Astyanax mexicanus: one gene and its partners. The protein of the gene in region 3 binds, or shares a complex with, the protein of the main gene of each other region. Links are inferred from orthologs where the notes say so. Each region holds a gene or a part of one and is shown on either strand. Other genes may lie near its edges. The genes, in order: kat2a, ing3, transformation/transcription domain-associated protein and anp32e.

Region 1 (7,560 bases), on a different chromosome or scaffold from region 3:
TGTGCAAGGGTGAATGTGTCCAACACTATATGGACTAAAGTACTGAAACACCTCATAATCATCAAATTCAGGTATATTATTCAGACCTATTGACACCGGAAGTTTAATGTTTATATTTTATCATTTTTATCCCATTTTCTCCCAATTTACACGGCCAATTACCCAACCTACTCATTAGGACTCCCCTATCACTAGTGATGCCCCAACACACCAGAAGGGTGAAGACTATCACAAGCCTCCTCTGAAACATGTGAAGTCAGTCACCGCCTCTTTTTGAACTGCTGCTGATGCAGCATTGCCAAGTAGCATCACAGCGCACTTTGAGGAAAGCGCAGCGACTCGGTTCTGATACATTAGCTCACAGATGCCTTGTGTGCTGATCGACATCACCCTTTGGAGTGATGTGGGGAGAGAGCGCCATCTACCCACCCAGAGAGATCAAGGACAATTGTGATCTCTCAGGGCTCCGGTAGCCGATGGCAAGCTACACTGAAGTTCAATGTTAATGCCTATGGATTTAGAAGAGGATGCTGTAAAAGCTCCTGTGAGTGCACTGTGCAGTTTTACCAAAACTTCTGTCCTTATAGTGAATATAATGAAACATCATTCTGTATTTACCTTAAACAGGTAGAAGTAAACCTGCTTGGTGTCTGTGTCCTCCTCTTTATGTACAGACATGAACAGATTCTCTACGTCCACCACCATCCCCAGTAACCTGTTTATTTCTTCCTCCGACACGTTTTCCAGATGGGATACATGCTCCGCTGCACACACAGACACACAAACAAACAGATGTAAGATTACGTTTTTAATCTGGGCAGTGGTGGGTAAGCAGTTAGAATACCGATATACCGGGCTACCACTGTTAGGCACTCGAGTAAGCCTTCAACCTTTACTGAGCTTGTACTCACTGTATGTGTGAAACTGAGTGTGTTTGTTCACTAGTATGTGCGTGTGTTGACTGCATGAATGGGTCAAAGGATGAAGCCACATTTCATATGTGCCTCCTGGATCAAACACAAATGCATCAAACTGTTTAAGTCCTCAAAAGTGAGGGTTATACAGTAGTGCATACCCAGGGCGTGGCCACAGCTCCGGCACGCCTCGCTCAGGTTGGCCGTCTGCTGCTGAAGCTCCATCCGGGTGGCCGTGGGAGGATGAGGGTTCTTCCAGCCATTACACTTACAGGAATCATTTGCCTGTTTCAAAACAGTGGTAACAATGATACTTAATTAATCGTAAATATATTATGTCTGAAAAAGATATACAGTACCAGTCAAAGGTTTGGACACACATTCAGTGTTTTTCTTTATTTTTTATTGAATGTATTTTTTTACAATGTGGATTGTAGATTAATTATGCAATTAAGGGAATTATGGAGTAAACAGAACAGTGTTTGTCCTGACATAAACCCAACTGAGATGGTGATTTGGGATGAGCTGGAGCTTGACAAAGTAAAGGAAAAAGCAGCAACTATTGTTCAGCAACTCCAGGAACTCTTTTAAGGCTTTTGAGCTGGTACTGTACTGTACTGGTACTGATGTGATTTATATTGTGGAAGGTAAAATTAGATCACATGAAAAGTCTTTACTCATTATCATGTTTCACTACATCACTACTTTAAACACTGTTATTAGACAGACCACTCAGTATATACTAGTGCATAGACTAGGTCAACATCGTTATAAGGTTACTTTATTTCAATAATTCAGTTCAAAATGTAAAAATCATATGTTATATAGATGTATTACACACAATGATCTATTTTAAGCGTTTACTTATTTTTATTGTTTGTGATTATGGCTTACATCCAACGTAAACACAAAAATCAGTGGCTCAGAAAATCAGAATAATCTACAAGACCAATTGGTACTTTTGGCAGTGTACCTGTTGTCCTGTTGGAAAATTAAATCCCCATGTAATCTCCATAAAAGTATTCAACAGAGGGAAGCACGAAGTGCTGCTGTAAGAGTTTGGACTTGATAAAACACAGTGGAGGACCAGCAGCAGATGACATGTCTCTCCAAACCATCACTGATTGTGAAAACTTCATACTAGACCTCAAGCAGCTTGGGACTGTGTGCCTCTCCACTCCTCCTGCAGATTCTGGTCCCTTGATTTACAAATGATATTCACAATTTACTGATGGTCAGTGATGGTTTGGAGAGACATGTTATCTGCTGGTGTTGGTCCACTGTGTTCTATTAAAACCAAAGTCAGTGCAGTGTATTTACGGAAAATCTTGCAGCACTTTCATAAAGATGTGGATTTCATTTTTCAGCAGGAGCAATTGGTCTTTTTATAATGTTCAAATTTTCTGATTCTGATTTTTCGTTTTTTATTGCCTGTAAGCCATAATCAACAACAATAAAAGAAATAAACACTTAAAATAGACCACTCTGTGTGTAATATATCTATAGTAATATAAGAGTTCCACATTTTGAACTGAATTACCGAAATAAAGTAATCCAATTATTTGAGATGCACTAGTTTCTGTATTGCAGAGCTCAGAGCCATTGCTGTAAGACTTTCTGTGCAGGCTGGTCAGTTTCAGACCTAAGCTAGACGTTGTTGTGGTTAGATTATGAGGTTCCCATCTACCACACACTAAACCGGCAGGTCCACTGTTAACCTAGCTCTTGCTACAGTAACGCTAGCTAGTTAACTATCTTAGCTGGATACCTTGCAAGCCGAGAACACGCCGAGTTTCTCCAGCTTCTTAGCCCGAGGAAAGGCGCGGACCTGGGCTTTTTTCTGGCTCGCCCACTGCTGCTGGCTCAGGCCGGGCCGCGCCGGGTCGCTGCTCCCGGAGCCGGAGCCTGTGTTCGGGCCGGAGCTCGCAGAGCCCCCGCTCGGGCCCTGCTGAAGCCGGGCTTGCGTGGAGGCTTGTGCCGCCGGTTCCGCCATACCAGCACGGTGCGCCCCGGTCCGGAGAATCGCTGTGTTCAGTTCTGGTAGCTTAAAGCGCTCTGGAACAGCAAATTCTGTTTATTTATTTACGTTTTGTCAGGCCTCGCTGCCGCCTGTGTCCATGAGACACAGCCTTTACATTGCGCATGCGCAGTTGCATGGGTTTCTGGGTAATGTAGTTAACTACATAAACTACTAGCCAGCTATCGGCTTCGCTCTTTTAATCTGTTGTAAACCATATATATAGACCATAACAACACTTTTAAGATACAAAATTACAATAAGTAAACTGTATAAAAGGTGAGCTGATACAATACACCATACATGTATTAAAATAAGAGACTTTTACAGAGAGCCACAAAATATACAGGTAAAAAATCAAGAATATTTAGTGATATTTAGCTGCCACTGTTATTTAGCTAGCTAGCTGCCCCTGAGCAAGGCCTTCAACACTTTCTGCTCCCCCTGAAACTCAAATAGCAAGACTGTGTTCCAGTTGCGTACCATGCACTACTACTACATACTAATCTTAATAGTGTTGGTTTGGCAGGATAACACATAAAATATTCATGTAATAATAACCCATTTGTACTAACTGAAAGTTATGCTATGCTAACATTCATCTTTATGCTAACAAGTATTACATTTGCCTTTATGGCAACATTTATGGTATCAATATTCAACATTTTCCCCTGTGTTTCAAAGGATAGGCTGCAAAATCTTACAGCACTTCATGTTTCCCTCTGCTGACAACTTTTAAGGAGATGCAGATTTCATTTTCCAGCAGGACTTGGCACACTGACACAAATACCAATTGGTTTTAAATATAATACTCTTATTTAACATTTTTGAGATGCACTAGTATAGTGGCCACTCAGCAACAAATTGTGCATTTAAGAATAAATAGAACAGAGGGGAATGGAGAAAAGCAATCTATCTAGGATAAAGCTTAGGCTTTGGGTCGCAGGCATGGGTAGCTCCTTTCTGTCCAGTTCGCATAGCATTGTGAGATAATGTTCATTGCAACCACAGTTTGTCAAAAACCAACCAACCATTAAGTACATTGTGCTTTGACACTTTTATTTACAGTACATAATTCATACTCGAAGAATATTTAGTATTAGAATTAGTAAATAGATTTTTCTACTTTAGTGCTCTGGAATTAGGTCTGGGATTGGGAATTCCTGCTTTAGAGGGTGGGTTTGGTTCACTCATGGTGATGATTGAGAGGAAAAACACTGCAGTAAATCCACACCTACTGCAGATCTCACTGCTGCACAGAGCTCCTCCACTGGAAGGCAGTGTAGCGTTTCAGACTGTTCATGAATCAATGACTCAGTAGCATTCTGTCTTTTGTGCTTTTCTTTAAAAATACTCAGAATCAAACTAGGACAGAAAACATAGCTGAAAATTGTCAGTACAGACTGTGCCATTCTCAAGTACACATACAAAGTTTTTGCGTGACAGTGATATGCAAGAAGACAAGGTCTCATCTGGATATTATCCCTGGTTAAAGAGGCATCAGCTAAACTACATTTAGAGTTGCTAAATTATAATAAACTAAAAGTCAATGATATTTTCTCTATTTCTTTATACTTGACAGCCCTAACTGCCAACAAACCAACATCTACACTCTCACAGTGCTATACACGATTCCTGTGTTCCTGATTGTATTCCTGATCATTCTGGAGTAGGGCTGAAAATGTATTAATTAATTTCAGTCTACATGTATTAATTATGCTTTAATACAAAGATAAAATGCATCAGCAGTGGCAAATGCAGCTATTCTGCTTTTTAAAACAATGTTTAAAGCAAAATGCAGTGGGATTTTTCTTTTTGCTGCACAGCATTCAATTAAACATTTATTTTTACTCTTTCTGTAATTAAATGTACAGTTGTGTCAGTGTCCTTTAACAATTTGAGGATATCCTCAATATCATAAAATATCAATATATTGCCCAAGCTCTATTCTGAAGTATGTCTATTATTTCACGCATCATAAAATTTGTACACAATATATATATATATATATATATATATATATATATATATATATATATATATATATATATATATATATAAAAAACATTCTGGATGATTCACATTACGTCAAAGACAGAAAAACACACTGCAAAAATAGGCTGTTTTTAAACAACTATAACGATACATAAACATAATAATAGAAAAGAAATAAAAAAAGGAGCAACAATAAACACACTAACCCAGAGCAAGATACCTTCCCCTTGTTTATTGGTAAAATTACAAGTACAAGATATTATTTGTTGTTTTTCTGTCCCCCATCCACAAAACAGTTGTCCGAACCCTGTTAAACTGTGTCTGGGCAGTCGCTCTCATTCGTTGTGCTAATTCACAAGCAATGGAGAAAATGCTGGTCCAAAAAGAAGAAAAAAAGAAAACAAACAAAACAAAAAAAAGGGCAGAAAATGATGGTTCACAGAGGACAAGAAACAGCCAGTGCACTCAGAGGGACCTTCATTACAAAAATCATTTCACAGAAGAAGGAAAAAAAAGAAAGAAAAAAAAATCTTCAGGCAGAAAGAAAAGACGAGTAGACGATTGATCCGTTGTGGGAAGGTACTGTATTGATAATGGCTAATGATTCGGTATACTTTTCGCAGACAAAATGGAAAAAGAAGAAAAAATACAGAGTACAAATACAGCAAACAGTTACGTTTTTCAATACACAAACTGATTTTGGTCAGAGGAGGCAAATCTCGTCGTGCGTTAACGCCACGTTTGTTGACTGTTCGGGAATGTTCGCTCTCATTTCATTAATGCTAAAAATAGACACTGGTGTTAAGGATGTCCGTTAATGCGTTATGCATATACAGTCTGATATACGTAAATTATTTGGAGGGGTGGGGGTGGGCTAACCTATGAAATCATAAATCATTATTCATTAGCTCTGGAGTAGTGGTAGTCATAATAATAATTACAATAATAACAACAATAGTAATAACCAAGAATAATACAGAATCTACAGAAGCTGCTGAGAGTGAAGGGAAAACAGCCTCTCAACCTAGTTTCTCTCTCTATCGTGTTCTCTACTCTTCCACTTAAGAAAAAGTGCCAAGAAATCAGAAAAGCAGAATAATCAATACTTGTTGGGTATGGTGACTTCTATCCAGAGAGAAAGAGAGAGAGAGAGACAAAGAGAGAAGGAGAAGGAGAGAGAGCATCTGAGTTCAGGTGGTGAGGATCAGGCTGAACTCAGAAAACAGACCAGAGAGAATGAAAGAAGTGGAAGAAGTGTGTTTTCCCTCCAGCAGCAGTCTGATTTTCTATCATGAACACAGACTAGAACAGAACAGAACATTACAGCTCTGCTTAAGTGCGATAGAATTGATCGTTGTTTTCCCTCCTTGTTCCCCAAACGCATGTTGTCTTTATTTTTTTCATGTTTTTCCATTGTTTCGATAAGGGAGGGGGCGGGGCTTGTGTGATTTTATGGTATACACAGCAAAGCCAGTCAACTGATTCTTGAACACAGGTGTTACAGAGGAGCCGGCCTATTGGTCGGGGGTAGAATTGGTCGAAATATTTACAAGTGGTTGTGAATATCAATGGCCCCTTTCTGTCAGTTCATTAAGTTGAATCTGTTGGGCTGCTGATGTACTTCACAGTTTAACTGACTGCGAATAGACAGAACTGTCGGACTATGAGTTGGTACTTTGTCGATCGTGTGTCTTGTGTTGATCCTCGCCACATTTGACAGTCGTCGATTGGTTGGGTTTCTTAGTTTCCGCCTCCACAGCACTGGCCGGATCTGCCCTGAGGTGCCGCCTCCTGCAAGTCTACTCCGCCTCTGGCTCGTCCTCCAGGTCCTGCTCCACCCTGCGGCTCGTTCTTCGGAAGCTTTTTAGCTACAAAGAAACAAACGAAGACAAAAAAGCGTTAAAAGTGAGTAAACAGATACATGAAGTCCTGTGCCTGTCTATATTGCAGAAATAATTAGGGCTTTTGTATGAGTTCTATAATTAACAAAAAGGTTCAGAACTAGGGGTGTGGCATATTTTATTGTATGCAAAAATATTGCAAATAATAGAAAAAATAAGAAAATAATTGACCAAAGAAAAAAAAATGTCCTGATGGAATATCCTGATATCCTTTATCCTCCTATATTTTTATGCCAAATATTAAATATTTTTGTTAATTACTAGAATTAATGTCCAATTTAACACGATTGCAAGTATGATAATGCAGGTTTCTAAATAATAAATTAAATATCAGCTTTTTGATTTTATTCCTTTTTAATTTCCCACAGAGACTTTTTTGTATTGGCTGTTGCCTCCACTTAAGGTCACTTTTATTTAATATTTCCTCCATTTTACAGAATTAAACTCCAATTTTAAAATGGACAATTTTTATGCTGTATTTCACAAATTAAGAGAACATGAAACAGGTCTTAAAGGTTCAGTACCTGATCGTTTCTACCACTAGAGGTCACACTAGAGCACCAGAATCTCCAACTACAACAAATGCCCTTTATTAAACCACGCCCTTCACTTCAGACATTCCCCTCTCTCCCACCATAGGCAGGAAGTAGGTATACATTTTATGTGTTTATGTATATTGTATATTATGTCTTTTAAATACTGAAGTTGGCCAATGTTTCCACAGGGCGGCATG
Region 2 (7,950 bases), on a different chromosome or scaffold from region 3:
GCATATAAAAGTCATTTAAAAGTTCATGTTTAGCTGTTTCTATTCCTTACACTTCATTTTATTTTCCATTACGCTTTAATTATAAATATTTCCATGATTTTTCACGACTCTATGCCTTCAAGGCAAATTTTCATGACCATACGATTTTTAAAACGTCAGTGCAAAAAACAACTAAAACTATAATTAAAATGTATTATAGTAGGTTTAAAATTAATTAGGTAAAATGTGAGACACAATCTTTAATAATAAAATGTGTGTCAGATCCTGAGAGCTCCATTGTTTAGGGCTAAATTACTGAATTAACTCTGATCTGACGTATTTGTTAACTTAGAATAAATTCTCTCAATCGATAAACTGAAACACAAAGATTTGTAGACCAAACTTCCATGACTTTTTCTAAACTTTCTGGGTGTTTTTATTTTTCTAAAACTTATCCAGGTCTGGAAATTGCTATTTTCAAATTTCTTGACTTTTCCAGGTTTTCACGACCGTACGAACTCTTTATTTAGCATGTTTAGACACGGCTAATAAACTGTGCAGTCATACAGTGAACACAGATAGAGGACTGTCTTACTTTCTGCTGTGGTGTGAGAGTGGACATGGTGGTTATTGACAGGTTGAGAAGGGCTGTCCATTTCCAACGACCCTACAGAAAAGAAGAAAGGTAAGTTAAGAAAGGCTGCTTAAACAACTAATAAATTAAACAAGCATTCTTATGCACATAGCACTGCATAATTAAGAGATCCACATTTCCCAGCTGATGTCCTCACATATGATAACTAGCTTGGCAGACAGACTACACTTACGTCTCTCCAGGATCTCAGTGATTCCTGCATTATCAGCCTCCAATTCCATTTTAAATTTGGCCAACTCCTGATCCAACTTCCTCAAGTGTCGATCCACCTGAGCGCACACAAAATCATACAATCCTTAACTGAACTATGAAGAATTGTTTATCATCAGACATCAGAATAACAAGCTTTCACAGCATATACAAAAACATCTTTCCAATTCATTCCACACATAAGAGTACATTCACAATGAGTGACTGCCTCTAGTGGACATAAAGTGGACATAAAGTGTACTGCGGTACAATCATCCATACTCACCAGATCATAGATTTGATTGGCTAGCTGAACTTTTTCATCTGCATCTTCCAAAGCCTTATAGTAATCCTGAATAAAAGAGACAGAGGAGAAGATATGCATTAATTACAGCTTCTGCAATCAAAATTAATACTTTATTACAGGCTAAGCAAAACAGCCAAAAATAATTTAATAATACAGTTCATTAAGTGTGGAAAAACAAAACTGTGAATAGTAAACATCACAATTAGATGTGTTTAGAGGGCTGATTAAGGGCTGATTCAGAATTTAACAACTTTAACCAATTAGTTATTTTTAGCAGATGCTCCAACCACGGATTCCACAGAGAATTGCATCTTTTGTTCTGTACCTTCTTAATAACCTCCATCTGCTCTTCCCTCCATTCTGGTTTGTTCTTTTTAGCGTTGGCAAAGAACTCATTAACTCTCTGTTCCAGCTGGTCCATCGCATCTGAAAAGCAGGAAGAGGGTCATTATTTGCAAGTGGATGACCAACTAAGAGATATGTGTACTAACAGTGGACAGCTATGTGTCAAGCCTGCAACTGGATAAAAATAAAAAATAAAAAATAAAACAGGAGTGTTCCAGTGGTTTTCCTAAAATTTGAGAACTTTTGTTTTTAGAGGGCAATATTTTTATGTGAGAATAACAAACACGTCATATCAGTGTTATACACATTTATTTGTTTGAGTGTCATTTGTTTCGCTATTTAATGTGATGCTTATTTTCTTCTGTGAAGATATTTATGTATAATAGTTTTTGTGTTGATATATTACATTATTTTTATGTTACATAAATTATTATTACTTCACACAGAATCTTAAGTTTTTTTTTTGTTTTTTTTTTAAGTTTTACAATTTTTCAGTTACTAGAGCTCTCATGGTTCTTTCTTCTCTGCTCCATGCACTCAGCATCTATAATTAACTACTTTATTATAAAACACATTCAAATTTTGGTCAAACTTTAGAACATAAAGTTACGACTAAATTGGGAAATAGAAAAGTGGTGGTAAAACATCATCTGAAATGTTTCCCTTGATCCCATTACCAGAAAAATGCTGATAAAGGATTTCATACATTTTTTTCAGTTTCTGACATTTATCACAAATAGTTTCAGGGAAATTGTAAAAAATATGTAGTTAATCTTCTCTTGATTTTTTAATTTTTCCATTTCTGCATCTTGTAACAAAAATCTGATGATATAATGGTCAGTGTAATGTTTATTTATTTAATTTTTATGACCGTTTTAGGTTAAATGCAAAAATCGAAAATTTGACGTAAAACTCATTATTTATTTTTTTAAATATAGTTTTTCATCGACTTTTCCAAATTTCATTTTTTTCCCCTAATTTTTTTCATTTTTGCATTTTACCATCCGATTTGTGTTACAAGATGCAAAAATTGACAAATTTAAAAATCGAAAGAATTTCATTTTTCATGAAATTCTGTCTGTGAATAGCTTAAATGAAAAACTAGATAATTAATTATTATATTTTGGACGAATTATAATAATTTGGATGAATCCCATTTCGTCTTCGCTATACTGAATGGAAATAATAATAATAATTAAGTTTTAAACCCAATTTTCTATTTTCAAATTTAGCTTGATAATTTTGTTAAGAGAATGAAAAAAAAAACAAAATTTCCTCCTGCAATTAATCATGTGAAGAGCAGAAATGAAAATCTACATAATTTGAGAAATTGAAGAAAACCCGTTTAAAAAGTGAAATAATAGAGTTGTAATGTGTTTCAGTGTTTTTATGGGTCAGTAAAGTGCAGTGGTTGCAGGGCTGAAGTCTCAGCGGTCAGACTCTGAGAGAGAACCGCTGAATGCAGTGCCTTACTCTGAACCTGCAGGTCCATCTCTCGCATTTCCGTAAACCTGTCGCGGAGATCCATGGGTAGCTGCTCGATCACTGCCGGAGAGAAGAAAAAGCGGAGTTAGGAGCTAGCCTAGCGGCTAACGACCGCGCGGCCGTTTCCCCGCGACACGGGCCTCCCCCAGCACACGAACACACCGCCACCACAGCGAGCGAACACAGAAACACCTATACTCACTCTCCAGGTAGTCCTCCAGGTACAGCATGGTGGCTAACGGGGTATTTTTCGAGGTTTTGCAGAAAACGGAGAACTCTTCAATATGGCGCCTCGCCTCGCTGAACGCCGAAGAAAAAAAAGGCGATTTCGGAGGGGCGGGGCCTGGCGGCGTAGACGTGCACAGGGATTGGTCGGTGACTTACTTACGCAGCACCCGCCTTCACTGAAAATGCTCATGGTATTTGTAGTTTTTATTAAAGGAACGCGCACAGCGTGTTAATGGACTGTATACAAAACAAGCATAACATTATGACCACCTTGTATGTCTTTATGTCCCGTGTAAAGCTTTATGTGGGCTATAATTTAGGATTAGTGGATGAACAACACAAACTGTGAAGTGAACGATTCTTGACTCTTTGGTTTTATTTATTGCTTTATTTATTTTGTGTTTTTTGTGTTACATTTTCTGTTTTAGCTTTTTGCCATTTTATTTATTTTATCCATTTCGTCCTTTTATTTATTGATTTCCTCCCTGCAGGCACATAACGGTATTAGACGTTATCCTGACGTAATATTTCTGACCTCTGAATCTGACCTCATGACCAACTTTTACCCTAAAATTAACGTCTATGGACGTTGGTGGCAAGCTGGGATTTAACTTTTGGCCTTGTAGCTTTTTATTTCATTTATTTTATCGTTTTATTTAATATTATTTTTTTTAAATATTTTATTATTTAAATGATTTATCTCTTTATTTTATTGCTTTACATTTTAGCCTGTCCACTTATCCTTTTAATCTGAATTATTTTATTTCTTCTTAACTAAATATTTTATTATTTGCTGTTTTTTGAATGTTTTTACCTTTTAATTTTGATTGTTTTGTTTATGAAGGTCCTTGTTTAAGCTCTTCGGATTTACCTGATTTTAATTGTAATTTAAATGTATTTTTTTCAGTCACTTTAGGTCGTAAATGCTCAGCTGCATTGAAAATGAGGGTTACCCTCAATGTATTACAGAGTAAAAAAAGGTTCAGTATAGAACATGATACAGATTTTTCATATTTAGTTTTCAGTATTCACTGTTGCAGTATGGAGCATAATACGTATTTCTTCTATTCAGAATAATAATACATTTTATACTGTCAAACCGCTGTCGTGGATCAATATGAGGGAATAACACAAAGGCTAAACAGACTCTCCTTAGAAATCTCAAGGCCGAGTAAAGAAAGAGTTCAGGTATGGAAAGGAGGGGTTAGTTTCCACGATCAGCCTGAAGAGGGCAGCAGTGAATGACTTTTCATTTACAGGCACATTGGTTTACAGTTGGTAATTCAATATATACAACTTGCCTCAAATTGCTTTCATTTGTAACTTAAATAAATGTATTTGTAGCACCAGACCAGAATAAATTATGATATAAAGCAGAGTGTTAACCTTTTTTACTGTGCGACCCCTTTTTAGGTTCAAAATATGTTGTGACCCCCACATCCCAAATTCACCCCCAATCATCAACCTTAGGAAAGGTACACTGCCTGGCCAAAAAAAGGTCCCCAGCTGGATTTAACTAAGCAAATGATCTAAGGTTGCTGCCGTTTGTCAGGTTTAGGTTCAGCAACAGTATGTGCTGAAAGAATGAGATCAGCTGACTACCTGAATATACTGAATATAGACCAGGTTATTCCATCAATGGATATTTTCTTAGCTGATGGCACGTGAATATTCCAAGACGAAAATGCCAGGATTCATGGAGCTGGAATTGTGAAAGAGTGGTTCAGGGAGCATGAGATTATCATTTTTACACATATTTTTTATCGTTGATGAAAATTATAAAATCTTAAAGACCATTTGGTACTTTTAGCAGTGTGGGCACTGTGCCATGTCCTACTGGAAAATGAAATCAGCATCTTAATAAAAGTTGTCAGCAGAGGGAAGCACAGTGGACCAACACCAGCAGATGACTAAGACGAAGACTAATTAGTCTTATTCAATATTCAAATTTTCTGAGACACAGATTTTTGTTTTTTCATTGGCTGCAAGCCATGACAATAAACCATCAACAATAACAGAAAAAAATGCTTAAAATAGATTGCTCTGTGTGTAATACATCTGTATAATATATGAGTTTCACATTTTAAAACTGAATTACTAAAATAAAGTACCTTTTCAAAGATATTCATATTTCTGTGAGATAGTATATATATATATATATATATATATATATATATATATATATATATATATATATATATATATATATATATATATATATATAATATATATAAATCAGTACATACTTAGAGATGTCATAAGCAGACCTCTGAGGAAATCTGAAATGCTAGAAAAATGTTAGATATTTAAGCCACAAGCGCACCAGCACTACCCCTGTCTCTCACTGGACCGTCGTGACTTTGGGCTGTGTGAAATACTCCCTGATGGCTCATGAGAAAGAACATGGATTCTCTGATGAGGTTCTGTGTGTATTTATAGCTGGACTGTTTGTGCAGCAGAATCACCAGCAACTAAAGCCCAATCTGCAGTGTAGTGGTGTACCAAGATTTAAGGTATAATAATGGATATAGGAAGATGGTAAGATAATAATTACACAACAAATATAGAATTTAATCTAATAAAATAAAGACTTTACTTTATTATATTATTCTATAAACCACGGACAACATTTCTCCCAACTTTCCCCCCAAAAATGGTCATTTAGAGCATTTATTTGCAGAAAATGAGAAATGGCTGAAATATCAAAAAAGAGCTTTCAGACCTCATATAATGCAAAGAAAACAATCTTTCATATTCATAAAGTTTTAAGAGTTAAGAAATCAATATTTGGTGGAATGATCCTGGTTTTTAATCACAGTTTTATCATGTTCTCCACCACCAGTCTTACATGATGCTTTTGAATAACTTAATGCCACTCCTGGAGCAAGAATTTAAGCAGTTCAGCTTGGTTGGATGGTTGTGATCATCCATCTCTTGATCCTCTTGATTATATTCCAGAGGTTTTTAATTTGGTAAAATCAAAGAAATTCATAATTTTGAAGTGGCCTTTTTTTCCAGAGCTTTATATATACAAAAACTCCATATCTGCTATGTGGTGATCCTCTGGGGTCCTGAGCATTGAATAACAGGGTGAAAGGAGGATAATAAAGTATGCAGAGAAATAGAATGATTAAATACTGTAATTGTAGAACTACAGTGTGTTTCTTTATGCTCAGTAAAGCTGAGAAAAAATAGCATACATTGTTTCTACACCCATAGCAGGATAATGGGTGTAGAAACAAGATTATTTATATGGAAATGCCACATTTAGATTAGTAAAGAAGGCCAGCAGTGACTGTTTCACTCCCTCACCCCAGGGGCACATTCAGCTCATCCCTGCAGACAGTAATACACATATTTGACCTCCTGACCCTCTGCATTCCTCTATTACACTTCCTCCTCTGTTTCTCACTCACTTACTCACTGTCACTTACCCACTCACATTATCTCTCGCTCACTCACTCATTCTTTTGCTTTTTTACTCACTATATTTTCACACTCTCATTTCTTTACTCTATTTTTCTGCTCTTTCAATTTTCACGCTATCTTGCTTACTCCTCTCTTTCTCAAGCACTCTTTTTTCACTTCTCTCACTACCGACTCATCCTCTCACCAAGTATAATGTTCTCTCACCCTCCTGTCTCCTGTTAGTAGATGCTGTCTCTCTTACTTTCTATTTTTTTATTTCTTGCTCAACTCTCACAGTTGTTCTGTCTCTCTCTCATTCTGTTTCTCAATGCTCACTCATCCACTCTAACTGTCTCACTCATTTTACCAGCTGTTCTCTCTCTTTTTCTCTTGCTCTCTCACTCTCTGAGTCTGTATTCCTTGTTCGTTAACTCAACTATTCTCTCACTCAGTCTTCCAGTTGTTCTCTCTCTTTCTCATTCTAACTTTATCTCACTTTTTCTCATTTACTCCTTTAACTCATGTTTCTAGTTGTTCTCTCTCTCCCTCTCTATTTCTTGCTCACCTAATCACTCTTTCTTTCACTCACTTTTGTTGTTTTTCTCTTTCTCACATGCACACTTATTCTAGTCATTTTAACTTTGTCTGAAATTTACTGAGTAGTTGCTATTTCTTTTTTTCTCTCTCTCCCACACTTTACTAGTTGTTCGGTCTCTCTATTTTTTTTGTTTCTCTATGCTCACTTTAACTGTCTCACTCACTTTACCAGTTGTTTGCTCTCTTTCGGTCTTTGCATCTATATTTCTTGTTTGCTCACTCACTCACTAACTCTCTCTTCCTCTCCCTCCTCTTTAACTCTCTCTTTTTCTCTGTTTATCTCTTATTCTCTATTTCATGCTTGTCTCTTTACTTACTAATGGTCACTTAATTTCACAGTTGTTCTCTCTCTCTCTATTTTGCTCTCTCTGTCTTTATTTGTTGCTTTTTCACTCATCTATTCCTTCACTCACTTTTCCTTAAATGATATTGTTCAAATAAAACTGTAATTAACAAAATTTAACACTAACATTGTTGATTTACTGTATAGTTGCTCTCTGTCTCTCTCTTTACCTCTGCCTGTCTATTTCTTGCTTGCCCACTCACTCACTTCCCCAGTTGTTCTGTCTCTCTTTAATGCTGTAACTCTATGTTTACTATAATTGTCTCACCCCCTTTACCAATTGTTTACTCTCTTTCTGTCTTTGCATTACTATTCCTTACTCACTCACTCACTCACTTTCTTCTACTTACTTTTTTCATAGTAGTTGCTCTCTCTATTTATCTCTGCTTCTCTGTATGTTCCTTTAATTCATTC
Region 3 (7,776 bases):
ACAACAAGTGCTTAACTTCTCTACAGGTCACATATTTTGAGCTATAAACACCAAATCTGGCACAGTTACAGAACTAATAGGGTAGTTCTATGCTTCATGTATATTAAGAGCTAAACAGGAACTTCTTAGCAAACGTTAACCTAGTAACAAACTGGCAACACCCTAGCAAGCAACACAGACACAACTGCCATTGAGCTGCAATTTATACATACATTTTCTTGGGGAAATGCACTCTCATTCTTTTTTTGGTGGTTCCCGGGTATTTATCTAGTTTGTGCTGAAATGTACTAATTGTGTTTATATTGCAGCATGATTGGAGATGCCAGTGTTATTTTTACCTGCCTCATAAAATGCATACAATCCTACATTTTTCATTTCTTTAAATAAAAATATTCACTATTAATGATTGTCTCTTTTTTTTTTCTCATGTCTTGACTAAATGTTGAATTGCTTCTTCTGAAGTCAAGGGTATTAAATGGTTCATGCAAAAAATAATGCTCTATAATGCTATATTCAGGTAGTCAGCTGACCTCATTTGTTCAGCACATACTGTTACTGAACGTAGACCTGACCAAGTGCAGCAACCCCACATCATTTGCTACCTTTTCAGCGCACACCTGGCATTAGGATTTATGGTAATAGGTTCATGTTTATCTTTTCCAGAGATTTCTATTCCATTGCCAATACTATTCTACAGAAATTAGAGAAAGTGTGTGAATTTGTACTCAATTGGTGTAGCTTTAAATAAGTAGCTGAATAATGCATTCATTAGAATGCACACATTTGCGCATAGTGTATCTAAAACCCAAGATGTGGGTCATAGAGCCTGTTTTTTCTGAAAAATACATCAGCATTTTCATTTCCAAGCGGTCGTTGAGGCACAAATCCAATTTCCGGTGGCATTCTCGTTTTACTCTGCTAAACAAGGAGTCAAAGATGAGGGCCAGTGGTCAACAAGAGACCGCAAGTAGCCTCAAACCGCCCACATTTCATCTGCACTCCCGCTGCTGGATATGAATCTGTCATACTAAAGTATTTGAAGTTTCATTCGCTGGAGGGACAGGATGTCATCTCTGCTTTAATGTTTCCACAGCTGAACAGTGAGGCCATTGAAATGATAATGCAACCTTTTCACCATCTGGATCATTTATTGTGCTCCAGCAGGGTTACTGTGATTGTGCTCAGACAGATGGCAAAGGTGGCAAATGGCTTGTCCGCCATCATTAAGCAGAGATGTAGGCTTGTGCAGAGGAAAATCATATCATTGGCATATTCTTCCTTCCCATAACTTATTAAATGATGATTATTCATCAATAATATTAGTTTCTTGTGTTGTTCATGTATACATCTTCTGGAGTGCGATATAACTGAATGTTGAACTTTTCTACAGACAGAGACTAACACAAATTTAGGTGGTACATTAATAGAACCCAGTGGAAAAGGATTGCAGTAGCAGCCTGCGCAGCTCTGATGAATTCCCTGCCCAAGGGAGTTAAGGCAGTGCTGGAAAATAATGGTGGCCACACAAAATAGACACTTTGGGCACAATTTGGCCCTTTTCACTTGTATATACTCACTTTGGTTGGCAGCAGTTTAGATATTAATGGCTGTGTTTTGAGTTATTTTGTGAGCACAGCAAATATACAGTGTTACTTGCTGTACACTGACTACTTTACATTGTATTAAAGTGTCATATCTTCATGTGAAACAGAAAAAAAATATATATATATATATTTTATGTGTTTAGAAGCTTTAGGGTGAGTCTACTCATTGAGTAAATCAATTATTTAAAGCAGTTTAAGCTCACGCAGTCATATCACACGCTGACCTTGAGTACACAGCTTATCACACACGAAGGAGGGTGTGTGACTGAAAATTGAAAAATACACTGAACAACTATAGAAGACACTTTGAATGAGACATTTTATTTCTCTCCACCATTAATCACGGTTTAGCACCTGCGAGTGATTGAACACACATTCATCAGAGACTCACAACTTTTGTGCCCATCAACAGTTTATTTTTTCTTCCTCACTGTTAGTTCTTGATATTTAATAGAATACATTGTGTTCAACTCTGTCTATAAACTTGATTATCCCCTTTTTGCTACAACCTTGTATAGCAATGAATTACACAGTTTCACTGCTATACATTTGCCTTAGATACAACTAATGCAATTAAAGAAGTTAATTCTTGAAAAACATTAAACTTTTGTATTTAAAAAAAACTGCACAATAAGACAAAGTAGTGCAAAATAAAAACTTTAAAAATAATGACTTTAAAGTGCTGCCTGTGTTTAAAATACTGTATATGTAAATAGTTTCAAAACAGTCACGTGAAATATATTCTTGCCTTTCCCCATAGCTCTTCTATTGGTCGTTGACATTGTTCACGTCACTATTTGCGTGAGCCAAGTCCCAAGACTTGCGATAATATTAAACACGGTTGATTAATCAGGCGAACCCGACTGATTAAACTTCCAACCACCTTAGGATAGAGATGACGCCACCGCAACTCGACCGCAACTTTTCTCTAGCCAGACTCTCCAGATTTTTTCCCGACTTTGGAAATTTGTCTGCGACTGTGAAAACGTTTAAAAATAGTTAGGTGTAAGACCGGCATTAGTCTGTGGGAGGCAGTGGTAGCCAAATTAAGAAGGATAAACACTTTAGAAACTTTAGAGTAAACAGATAAAGTGCCTGTATTGTGACGGCATCCCTAGGGATAGGGGCGTGGCCACCGTGACAGGGCAGTCAGAAAACCCACAGATACACGGACACAGGGAGTGAATGAACTCAAAACGTACCTTTATTTAGGTTCAAATGCCTAGTGATGGGTCTGACGACCCTGAAACCTCGACACATGCGCCGAGCTGTCAAGGCGAAACCCCGTGTCGGTGCGCGTATCAAGTTAAGGAAAACCACGTGACCGATACACTTCCTGTATCGTTTGGTAGCGATGGGTCTGACGACACTGAAACTTCAGCGCATGCACCGAGCAAACAAGGCGAACCCCTGTGTCAGACCGCGTATCATTTTAAGGAAAACCACGTGACCGATGCATTTCTTCGCGCAGTTGCTTGCAATGACTTTCTTAGTCCAGCAGATGTCGCCATTAAGTGATACAGCAACACAGTTTCAACACAGTGTCGATACAGTTTGGGAAATGTGCCATACACCCAATGAGGCTTCATCTGCCCATCACTACAAATGCCCTCCACTAACACCCAAAACAACTCAAAACATAACTACACTGGCCCAGAGGGGCTCTACTCGCTGAACTTGTGATTGCCAGTCTTTTAAGGGTCTATCCTGCCGCAGCCTTCCTCTCACCTGTAGCACCTCTCAGAGTGGGGACTGAATCCGAGTCTTTATGCCGGAGTTCCAGCTGCTGCTCAATCAGTCCTGATTCAGATCAGCTGGGACCGGCAGGGACTGCGCGTCATGGCGTGGGACGGACCCACTGCTCCCCCCGCCCGTCACAGTATGTAAAACCGCAATAAAACTGTAATTCGAATTAACCGAATTAATTGTGAAAATCACCCATCACTAGTTCATATCCAGAGGCGTTTTACATCAAATCATCAAATCAAATTTATTTGTATAGCACATTTTATAACTGATGTGCTCACAAAGCAGCTTTCTGCATTTATTTTTTTATTCATTTATAAATAAATACATAAAGGTATTAATTTATTTATTTGTGCATTTATTTATTTATATTTGTCATTTTGCCATTCCCCCTATAATTTCTTCACATTGACGCCCAACAACGCAGCGACCTCAAATGGCCGTTTATTGTACTTACAACCCCAACCAGCCAGCCTAAATGCAGAATGTTGACTACTATATAAAGCCCCATATAAAGAAGCATAATATAACAAATATGATAGAAGCTGCTCATTATAGCTGTGTGGTGTATTTAAAAAAAATGAATAAGTAGAGTCCAGTATTTAAAACAGAATTAATTGCGTGCGTAAATTAAAATTCTCTTTATACTGCAAAATGTTTAGTTACCTTTTTAAAGGAATAGCGGTCTAAGTGTTAAAAGTCAGGTTTTGCATTTTTAGAAATCAAAATAGGGATGAAATGGAAACATTAAAATAGCTTAAAAACATAATTTGTAAGCTCTTAATACATGGGAAAACGAAAGAAAAGAAAGACCTTCGTTTTCGATGGTCTTCTGACTACTACCAAATTTGCAGTGTCCTTCCGCGCAGGACTATACCGCTGTACTGTAAAAAACGACAAAACAATAGAAGAGCGCACAATTAGATCCTACATAATGTGTTTATTAGTAAGAAGTTAACATAGCTATATCACATATCATGCTTGTTGTTTTTAAATGCAAGAAATATATGATTATAATTAGTAAACAGATTATCATAGCTTGGCGCGGTGTTGCTTAGATCCCTCCGCCGGGTTTGAGTCGGTGCGAGCTGAAGCAGAGCTAGAACTCCTTCCCTCTTTTTCCATCTGCTGTAAGTCTTTAATGCGCGTATTGCGTTTTATTCGCTTTATTTGGGGGGATTTTGTGTTTATATGATACGCAGGTGTGTGTGAGTGGCTGAAGCCGAGATGTGCGCTGGCTTTGGGATACTGGTGGAGGTTAAATACTGCTAGTTGTGTTGGTGGGAAGGACATGACTGTAGTAACGGTGTTCTGTCGAGTTGTGCTACTTTGTCAAATCGTGCTACCCTAGCGTATTTACCTGTAAAAATACAAAAGGAGTGGAAGTCCCAGTAGATGTAGCTAGTATATTTGGATAGCATGAATCACTGTATCATGGTAAAGATACGGCAATGGGAGGTTATTAATTACATTTTGATTTTGTATTTACATTTTTAATAATAATAATTGTATTTGTTATTATTATTATTATTATTATTATTATTATTATTATTATTAAACATTTACATTTATACTTTGTGCAATGAGTCAGTCCGAGCTATTTAATACACAAATAACAGATTTATTATCAACGACAACAACAACAAAAAAATTAAATAGTCGGTCAGCGCATGCGCAGTGCATTTAGGAAGCACGTATCGATGGGTAGCGTAACTCGACAGAACACCCGGCTGTCTGTGCAGCAGGCTGGTACGCGTTTAGAGTGTGTTTACTAAGGGATTGCGGATTCAAAACTGAGATATAAAGGTTGGAATGATGGGGGTGTGAAAGTCTGTAAACTCTAATATATATTCTATTGAGTTCTGTTATAAGTTCGTGTATTAAATATAAGATATCCTGGCTTTTGTTTCACTGCACTAATCTCTAGCTTAGCTTAGCCTGGCTTTAACCGCAGTGATGTCATCTGCGCGCGTCGGACTGCAGTAGGCGTGCATCTGTAGTAACGTTAGCTTAGCTTAGCCTAGCCTAGCTTAGCATAGCACTGTCTGCGATTTGGCGCGCCGGCTGCGCTGGAAAACTGCAGATAAAGTTGCTGTAAGTGCGCAGACGGATATCCAGCCGGCGTCTTCAGTGGCGGTTGTGTGTAAGTTTGTGAAAAGAGGTGAATTTGCTGTATTAGCTAAATTATCCTGTGTTTATTATTATTATAAGCTCCAGTGCTCTGCAGTGTGTAGTTAGCTAGCTAGCATAGCATAGCTAGCTTAGGGTCCTACCGTGCTGTTTTCGACAACGCCTTCTTTATGCTGATAGTTCGCCGCATATAACCTTATTTTTGGCTGCATATAGAAGCTACACTGGTTATACATATCTGTGTGTGTAATTTAATCGTTTAAAGTTTTTTAAGCTAAATATTTGTGTTTACTTTTCAGCACACAGCTTAAATATTATTATAGTCAGCTAGCTGAAGGTGCAGGGAAACCTATTGATGCATAAGCTAGGCGTACTGCAGTTGTTTACCCCACAGAATGTTTAACCCACAGTTCACATCCCATAATTCTGTCATATGGAATATTATAATATGTTTTTGCTGAATGTAAGATCTTAATTTATAGTAAAACTGTATTTTATTATCTTGATATACAGCTCTGGAAAAAAAATATGAGACCAGTTTTTCAATCAGTTTCTCTGATTTAGCTATTTATAGGTATATGTTTGAGTAAAATTAACATTGTTGTTTTATTCTATTAACTACAAACAACATTTCTCCCAAATTCCAAATTAAATATTGTCTTGGAGAGAATTGGTTTGCAGAAAATGAGAAGTGGCTGAAATAACAAAAAGGATGCAGAGCTTTCAGACCTCAAATAATGCAAAGAAAACATGTTCATATTCATAACGTTTTAATCGTTAGATATTATCAATTTTTAGTGTAACAACCCTGTTTTTTAATCACAGTTTTCATGCATGTTCAGGCATTTTCTCCTTCACCAGTTTTACACACTGCTTTTGGATAAGTTTATGCCACTCCTGGTGCAAAAATTCAAGCATTTCAGCTTGGTTTTATGATTTTTTGTCATCCAGCTACCTCTTGATTATATTCCAGAGGTTTAATTTGGTAAAATCATAGAAACTCATCATTTATCATTTATAAGTGGTCTCGTATTTTTTTTTCCAGAGCTGTATACATTGTTGTTTGATGGTTTTGGCTGTAGTGGTAAGTTTCTATCTTGTAAGCTCCCTAGACCTACAGACCTTTCTAATGAACACTTATAACTTATAACTAATGAACAATTATAACATTAACTACAATACGAAGAACGTTTGTGTAAAGGGTTTGTAAGTTAGTGCTGTTCACTTAAGTCTGCACGTTTTATTTTTAATTTACTGAGACAACAAACATACCATGTGCTCTGCCTACACTATTACTCCATGATTTATACCTTATAAACACAGCACTAAAGGTAAGGATATTTGTTTGGTAGATAATTTCTCTGTTGTAACAGTGTTTCTTGGTGAGAAATCTAATATTGTTGTAAAGCCTGTTCATTTCCCTTTTAAAGTAAGCCACATTTGTAAGGAACATGCATTTGTGGGATTAGATATGTAAAGAGATATATAGATAGATACTTTATTGAAGTATCTATTACTTTATTGGACAGTCTTATGGCCTGAGCAACAAAAGACTTTCGAAGTCTGTCTGTGGATAGGACTGGGTACTCCTCTCTGCCAGTGGTGTTAAGGACTCCAGCTCTAATCCACCACAAAACATCTTGTGTGCAGCAGAGTTGAATATGTGGGTTGTACCCATATAAAATTAGCCAAATATTCTCTGCCATAGCCAAACAGTTTACTCTGCTGTTGCTATTGACACTTTTTAGCTTCTGGTACCTCCAGGTGCAGCACCTGTGAAAATGGTCCCCGCTACACTGGTCAGTAGGTGTCATGCCACATTTGACTGGTCTGGATAAGGCAACTTTAGGCTGGTGTTCTGAAAAAAACAAGTTGCAACATTATTTGGAGTAAGCCTCAGTACCATCTCCAAACTGAAGGCCAAGTTCCATATAATGGGGGATGGAGGCAAGCCCCAAGGAGATATCGTATTTTTCAGACTAGAAGGCACACCGGATTATAAGGTGCATAAAGCAACAATAGTAAGGATGCCTACATCGATTTTTTGGTGTGAAGGCTGGGACCATCACCATTATCATTAGCCTCTAACCACAGCGCTAGTTGGATGTAAATGGTGCCCGATAGCGGTAGACTGAGGAATTCTGAGTGTTCAAGTAATGCTAATGCTAATGATGCTGCACCCAGCCTTAGTGCTGGAAAAACTTCACTGAAAACTCACCCTTATAACACTGTACTTCAGTGGAGTGGCTTTAATGCTCCTTAAAACCTGACTGTTAAAATTCACCGGATTATGCAC
Region 4 (7,558 bases), on a different chromosome or scaffold from region 3:
CCTTTATTTGTGTTTATTGAAGAGGATGAGAAAATAAGATCTGTTTGGTTATAAACACTCTGCGAGTTAAAATAGTTCCATTGCTGCTTTGTTTGTAGCTGTGCTGTTTGGCTAGTAAGCGCTGCATTGTTGCTAGGTTACCTGTATGTGGCGGAGTAATACATGGAGCTTCGGTTACAGTGCATTACTGGCAGATAATGGCACTCATAAAACGCCTTTCAGCCCTCCACATTGCAGGGTTGGAACTAACTGTGGTAAACTAAATAATAATAAAACTAAAAATGTATGATAATTTTATAAATTATGTTGTATTATTGTACTAAAGAAGCTCTGCCACTCTTAATGTATTGCGAGTCTTGTCATCTAGCATATATTTCGCATTACTATGTTTTTTTTCCTATATCACCTCGTTGTTTAAGTGTGTTCACAATGTTGGGATGCGTAACTAATGTAGTGGCTAGGTTTGCTGTCTACCTGAATAATAAATAAAGAAAAAGAAGTAGTAGCTAGTTTAGGTTATGTGGCCAACGTCTCTATTCATGGCAGGCAGGGCTGTGGGAGATGGCAGCAGTCTGAGCCAGGCCACAGTTATAATCTACTGGGCTAGCTGGGTTACATTAGGCGTGGGGGTGGGGGGCTTGCGCACCCTCACCATCTGCCACGATCCTTCAAGTAGCTAACCTAATCTAACTAACCTAGGTTATAGCAGACTCCGCGGAGCGTCTAATGAAAAATATCAGTTAAAAAAAGTATCTTGTCTAACAGGCCGCGTTATGTAGTTATACATCTATCTGAAGCGTGCTAGTTACATAACCGCGCCATGGTTATGTGAGCAGGGAGGAAAATGGCACCGTGTTCTTTTCGGGACTCCATAACAGAAACAGCAGCAGCTCGGCTGAGCTGCGTAAAGCACCGGAGGTAGCGACAACACACGACTGTAACCGAGTTGTTTTGATAGTCTTTTAGTTTACTGAAGCGCTAAAAACGACTTTAAACACGCGGAGGAACGATTATATTCGTTAAACAACCGACGCAACAAACAAAATGAGTCCTAGTCAGCGCAGCGACACTCCCCGTCCGCTCTCTCTCTCCCCTATCTCAGCTCCCTCCCTCTCAACACACACACATACATACACACACACCCCTCTCAAACGAGCTGTAGACCGCGCTTTGTCGATTAATACCGCCGACACAATCCGCAAGAACAGCTGTGTGGTCTGAAACAGACTGTTAAGCTAAAATGGCGATCCGCCTGCGCATAGCTAAGTTAACTAACTATATAACTAGCTAGCTTTATAACTAAAGGGGCTTTCTCGAGGAATAACTAACGAACCATCTATTTAAGTTAGTTAACAGCTTGGAAATCTTGGCTTATAACTACAATGTCGAATTGTCGTCGAGTTGGGGAGCGGCGTTAAGATGTCCGCCTCGGGAGACGAAACTGCTCACTGTAATGGCTGTAGCTGTTATATCTGAAAAGCAAGACACGCTGTGCTGCTTTGAGTGCTGTCCACACACACTCTCACTTGGAAGGCAGTGTAGGGCTAGTGATTAAAATCTAGGGAACAATAGTTAACTTAGTTACGTTTTGACCTGACGATGCCAAAATATGACGGTCCTCCTAGTTTTGCGAGATATAACGTTAAACGTTTAGCTGTGTTGTTATTGGTTAGCTAACTAGCTGTTAGCATTTTAGCTCAATAAAATAGAAGACTCGACTACTAAATAAAATAAATTCTCTTGCTTACTAGATAGCTATGTTAACTTACGTTAAATCCAGCTACAAAAAGCTAGCTAACCTGGAGTTTGCTAGGTTTGAGAAGCCATCATAACTACTAAAGTCTGCATCCGCGTCGTTGCGAGCAGTAGAAGATTAATCGTTGAAAGTAACGTTAAAATAGTGCAGGAACAGACGTTATAGCTAGCTAGCTAACGTTAACTAACGTAACTTATAAACTAGTTAGTTAAACCCATACGGAGCTATACGCTATAACCTAGGTTAGTAATTAAACAGGATAGCTGAAACGACGGTTAAAACCCCAAGCGGATAGCTACCCAATTACACTACACTAGGCTAGTGCCTTATCTCTCAGCACAGTGTAAGTTATAGTTAGTGTAACGTTACTTGAAGTAGGCGACCTAACGTTAGGTTTGCTAAGAAATAAAGCGAAGAAATGTTCACGATGAACATTTGTATTTAGTATGCAAACAATACGTATCACCATTTTAACTAACTATTAACCAACATTTAGCTAAAAGTTTCTTAGGTAGTTTAACTAACCAAAAACACGGAGCTACACACGGACCACGACCACAATGTAAAGCAATGGTGAATGGCGAAGGGGACAGACTGTAGTAGTAGTAGTGGAAGAGGTGGAGAAGTGCTGTAGGGTTATGTTTAGTTAGCTAGCGTTAACTAGGTTACGATTCACTCATAAAAGACTCCACGGAGTTTGTTTTTGTTGGTCTCTCTAGTTCGTTACAGTTCGTAAATTAACGTAACGTTGGTTAAACTAAGCTAGCTAACGCTAGATTACATTAGTGGGGATGGGTAGTCCGCTAACCTAGCTACTCCAAACACGTTGTAGCTATTCGGCTAGAAGTCTCGTTTATTAAACTCTCTATTTCTCTATATTTGCTAGTCTAGTCTAATCAATCCCTCTCCCTCGCATCCTTCTTGAAGCGCCCAAGTGGTCTCTCAGCTCGCTACCCTAACTAACTGCAGTCCAGCAGCAGCAGCAGCAGCAGCTCAGTGCTCGAGTCTGCAGGGTAAGACAGGTTGCGAGCGAACATCCTTTCCCATTTCTCGCCAAAAATAAATAATTAAAAGTCCGATGTGTTCGCTGGCTGGCTTACCTCCGCGGGAGTTCTGTTCCTCAGCTCTAAACTGATCCTCTTCTTCATCTCCATCGTTTCAGAAGATACTCTACCGGACAAGATCGTTTAGGAAATAAAGTGTAAGAAACTCCAGAGCGCGCACCCACAGCTCGGCTTTCTTCAACGTCTACCGTTCTCTAACTGATCCTCCATGATACCTCGCACCCAACCCCCTTTCCCAAGCCCCGCCTCCGCCGCGCCGCCATTGGCCCGCTGTTGTTTTTCAGCGCCTGATTGGTGGACGCGCATGCCACTCAAGCGGATCACCCTGATCAACATAATCGGTCTTTGCCGGCGCACGGGATTGGCTGGAATTGCGCGCGCAGTAAAATAAGATGGGTTGATGTAAATGTCAGTACGAAGCTTTCAAACTAGGAATCCGCCCATTCTTTGTTCTCATTGGCGCCTTACAGCGCTGCCCAGAGCCTTATATATATACATCTATATATATTTACTCCACTAATAAACATACGTTCATATATTGATATTAATAGCTAGTATTAATAATAGTTAATTTAGATTAACCCATAATACCTGAGACCCATTTCTGAATATTAATCCCAAATAAAAAAATTAACACAATTTTTAAATCCTGTTGTACCACTAATGACAACAACAACTTCATGACTTTTATTTTAACTTTTTGTTTTAGAATTTCTGTCAGAACTAGTTTTATAGAATATAAAACTTTTAATGAAAACACAGAATTGTTTAAGTGGATGGGACAGAGCTGTGGAAATAGAAGAAAATACACTTTTAAAAGGAGAAGCTCACTCAGCACTCCTACATTCTGTTAATAAACTCAGATGAACAAAAACATGTTTACGCCACTAAAAAATATAAAAAATATATATATTGATTAGAAGTTGGTGTATATGAAAGTTGATTTAGATTAACCCATAAAAACCCAGACCAACTTCTGAATATTAATACCAAATAAGAATGCAATTAAAATTGTATTTTAAGGTTAAAACCCTGATGTCATGTAAATGACATCAACAACAATTTCATAACTTATTTTAAGTTTAAGTTTATTCAATAAACTTATTTTTAAGAAAAAAAAAATCTTCTAGATGTCAGGTCAAAACTAGTTATATGGATCACAATACATTTTATTTGAGCATTTAAACGGTTTCTCTGGTTGGAACAGCAACTTTTATCTCCAGCACTAACCCAGCAGTCTGGGTTAGTTTACTCTGTGAATAACACTGTGCGATGTTCAGTCACTTAGGAACTTGAAGGAAAGAGTGCTGTGGGGAACTTTTTACAGCTTTAAAAAAAAGCTCCATGTAGACCACACACACACACTGTATATCACTATATACAACACGTTAACTACTAAAAATCCAACTTAAAAAATATTAACATGCAATACTTGTAATACATATGATATTTTGTATTACAACTCTGTGCTTCAATATTATATTAAAATGCTTGTCGACTTATTTTTAATTTTTCTATTTTCTATTGTTTTTATGGATACTTCTATTCTCTTTTCACTGCTTTGCTGCTGTGACTGAAAATTAAGTCATAAAATACAATTTAAAATGAATAAGAATGTCTGTGAAAGTACAAAAAAAAAAAAAACAGGCTAAAAAGACCAACTTCAGCAGTCTTCCCAGTAATGCTTCCCAACCAACTCTTAGGCTCTACTACCCACCCCCCACCCCCGCTTAACTATTAAATAAAATGGCTGACCATAAACCATGGCAGCCATGGGGGCTTAGAGGCCGCAAGCCATCATGCCATCTGTCCCATGTAATGTGCTGCTGACCGCTTAACTACACAGCTCAAACCGGCCAAAGTCCTTACGCTCAGCCTTTCAGCATGTCAGGAAGCATGCTCGGCCGCAGAGCGCTCCCCAGCCTCTTTTTAAAGAGCGGTGCACTTCATTCTTCAATGGAAAATAAGAGTGAGTGGAGTGTTCATGAATGAAAACTATGAGTCACACCTCAGTCACAATACAGTCACTCTGAAGTGCATTTGGGTTTCCTAAATATGCCTTATTCCAAAAAAACATTCTCACTGTCAGCATCCAAACTTGTACTTCCCCCTTCAAATGAGTCTGAATACAAAATGATCATGGCATGTTGCTGGTAAATATGCCCAGTGCTGTAATATCCAAGGTGACCGCTAGAGGATGCACCTCGTTGACCCTGGCGTTGAATGGATACCATGACAGATTTCCTAAGCTGATTTATGCCTCATTGTGAAAGGAAGCAAATAATCTTCTTTACCTTGCAGTCTGTCTACTAATGGTTAAACCAAACTCCATTTGCTTTCTATTTGTCTCAATTCCAACTTATTTATAGGCCAAGTCTTTACCAATTGTACATACATTTGAAAAAATAAAGTCAGAAAATGTAACAGTTTTACAGTCTTGCAAAATGAGAATATAAATGCTTTAGAACAAAAGATCCATAGAAAATGTGTGAAAAAAGAAATTCATAATAATACCAATAAAAATGTCTTCCTAAACAACTACTTAGAGTTAGACTAAGAAAGTCTAGTATAAGGGCAGGATATTCCAATAATTTGGAGAGCATGCTGCAAAGGCACAGTCACCTTTGTGTTTTCCTTGACTAGAGGACCTCAGTGCAATGCATTACAACCCATTCCCATGAAACACCTGGTATGTTATCACCAATGCAGTGAAGCCAGTACTATGCTGCCTTCCTTCAGCTGACACATTTGCAGCCGTATCACAGCTCTACAACTAAAACAGGTAAATAAATATGTATTTCCAGCATTAGCTATTACAGAACAACACGGAAAAGGAAAAAATAAATTTCACAAGACTATGTACATCATAGTTTTGGCTGAAAAAAGTAAAAAAAAAAAAAAGTGTTATTTTTGTAACACTACCGGAAAGTATAGTACAGTACAGTGCAATAAGCTATGCCAGAAGTTTTGTGTAGCTATGTATTGTATAGAGTATTTGTGTCCTGTGCTTTGCCTGTAGTGTATTTGTAAACAGACGGATATCTCATTGAGAGGCTTCTCTAAGGGCCTTCGGGTGAAAGGTGGGAGCGAGGGCTGAAGGCACTCCACAGACAGGAAACAGGAAATACTTCAGCAGACAGAGGATGGAAACTGTGGAGCATTAATTGGGTGACTCAGTACAAATTCATAGTAACACAATAACTTCAACTGAACAATAACATGTTCAAAAGCAAATTCAGAATGTTGTGCATGTAAATGCTTCTTCAAAAAAAACAACCATATTAACTTGTCATTCGTTCGTGTTGGACAAAAAACACACATACACACTAGTGAGTGCACATGGACATAGCATGGGGTACCCATTACTACTGCCCAAAGTGGCAGCTTGCTGAGCCCGGAGATCTGACCCACAACCCTATCATCCATAACCTACTGCTCTAACCACTACCCCCGCTTCACCAGCAATGATATGGAATTGCCTTGGGACTGATATTTGTGTTCTATGTGATCAATAACACAATTTATCAGACGGAAAAGATTATGCCACAATACTGAATGCTGTACAAGAAAATGCTTTCTATTAGATTATGGAGTATTGGTTTTAGGATTTGATTGTATTCAACAGCATGAATAAATGCTGTATTCATGTATTTATGATGTATACATAACAGGTACCCCCTGCTATGTCTGCGTGCGCTAACTTGTGCATACGTGTGGTTAAAGGCTGCATTATAAAACCATCTCAGGAGTGTCCAACACAAACAAAATGACAAGTTAATATAGTTAACTTTTTAACCAGCAAAATATAAAAATATATTTATATTTTCATCTTGCTGTACTTGTTGTAACATAATTTCAATCCTCTGTATGCCCTGCTCATGTGCAGTAATGAAAATAAAACTACTTGAATATTAGTAAGATTAGGATGTTGTATGACCACCAACTCATTTTATCCCTAACTCTTTTAAATAATCTTAAAATATTGGATGTAGCTCCATCATTTAAGACAACACAATTATCCACTGTTCCACAGCTTAGTACAGGGGGGCATCTAGCCCACACTGACCATTAGGCAGGGTGCCAATAGCTTTATGTTTACCTGCCCCAGATAGTCCTATTCTATTGGAATATTGCATTACAGGGCCTAGACAAGCTGTGTGTGCGTGTTCGGATTTGCTCATCTTTTTTTTTTTTTGGCAATAGGTGCAACATAATAATATGCTGCTATGGGTGTCCACAAACATTTAGACATATAATTTATAGTGAATTTGAATTTATATAACTTAAATGTGACAAGAATTTATAGGGTGGTTATAGGGTGTTTAGAAAGGGTTACATAATGAACCATAAACACAGTTCTTGCCAAACTAGTGACCTTACATACATTCACGTTCAACAATTTGATGTACATAATTCATGTAAATTCAATATGTCAGTTGTTTAGAACAATAAGTAAAGCATATCCACTAATAAGCCAGAATATTATAAAACAACAGACATATTACAGTATCACATGTAATGCTGGGATATATTTTGCAGCAAGTGAACCGTCAGTAAGGAGCTATATAAGCTATGTCTGTGCATTTGCTCATCTGTGTCAGCTCATCTGTGCAGTTTGCGAAAGAAGTCAAATCCATTTATTAGAATGGGTGTCCACAAACATTTGGACATATTGTTATTATAACAGTTCATTGGCTGTATAGTGCGTATTACTGTGAACAGGTGCGAACATATGCAC

The links.
Region 1: transformation/transcription domain-associated protein (region 3) and kat2a share a complex: the UniProt entries of both Homo sapiens proteins name them as parts of the TFTC-HAT complex. The link is inferred for Astyanax mexicanus from reciprocal best matches to the Homo sapiens genes TRRAP and KAT2A.
Region 2: transformation/transcription domain-associated protein (region 3) and ing3 share a complex: the UniProt entries of both Homo sapiens proteins name them as parts of the SWR1-like complex. The link is inferred for Astyanax mexicanus from reciprocal best matches to the Homo sapiens genes TRRAP and ING3.
Region 4: transformation/transcription domain-associated protein (region 3) and anp32e share a complex: the UniProt entries of both Homo sapiens proteins name them as parts of the SWR1-like complex. The link is inferred for Astyanax mexicanus from reciprocal best matches to the Homo sapiens genes TRRAP and ANP32E.

Annotation. Positions count from the first base shown.
Region 1 is NC_064426.1:26,198,531-26,206,090, forward strand, and holds the start of kat2a (histone acetyltransferase KAT2A), read right to left. Parts: upstream 3,051-7,560; 5' UTR 2,908-3,050; coding exon 2,683-2,907; intron 1,200-2,682; coding exon 1,076-1,199; intron 765-1,075; coding exon 619-764; intron 1-618. Other genes in the region: rab5c (ras-related protein Rab-5C), read right to left, coding at 6,667-6,794. UniProt on the Homo sapiens protein: Protein lysine acyltransferase that can act as a acetyltransferase, glutaryltransferase, succinyltransferase or malonyltransferase, depending on the context.
Region 2 is NC_064409.1:8,056,817-8,064,766, reverse strand, and holds the start of ing3 (inhibitor of growth protein 3), read right to left. Parts: upstream 3,283-7,950; 5' UTR 3,191-3,282; coding exon 3,163-3,190; intron 3,021-3,162; coding exon 2,949-3,020; intron 1,557-2,948; coding exon 1,456-1,556; intron 1,176-1,455; coding exon 1,110-1,175; intron 904-1,109; coding exon 807-903; intron 647-806; coding exon 575-646; intron 1-574. UniProt on the Homo sapiens protein: Component of the NuA4 histone acetyltransferase (HAT) complex which is involved in transcriptional activation of select genes principally by acetylation of nucleosomal histones H4 and H2A.
Region 3 is NC_064422.1:24,991,430-24,999,205, reverse strand, and holds the start of transformation/transcription domain-associated protein, read left to right. Parts: upstream 1-4,398; 5' UTR 4,399-4,480; intron 4,481-5,353; exon of another isoform or gene 5,354-5,493; intron 5,494-7,776. UniProt on the Homo sapiens protein: Adapter protein, which is found in various multiprotein chromatin complexes with histone acetyltransferase activity (HAT), which gives a specific tag for epigenetic transcription activation.
Region 4 is NC_064410.1:49,864,294-49,871,851, reverse strand, and holds the start of anp32e (acidic leucine-rich nuclear phosphoprotein 32 family member E), read right to left. Parts: upstream 3,034-7,558; 5' UTR 2,911-3,033; coding exon 2,857-2,910; intron 1-2,856. UniProt on the Homo sapiens protein: Histone chaperone that specifically mediates the genome-wide removal of histone H2A.Z/H2AZ1 from the nucleosome: removes H2A.Z/H2AZ1 from its normal sites of deposition, especially from enhancer and insulator regions.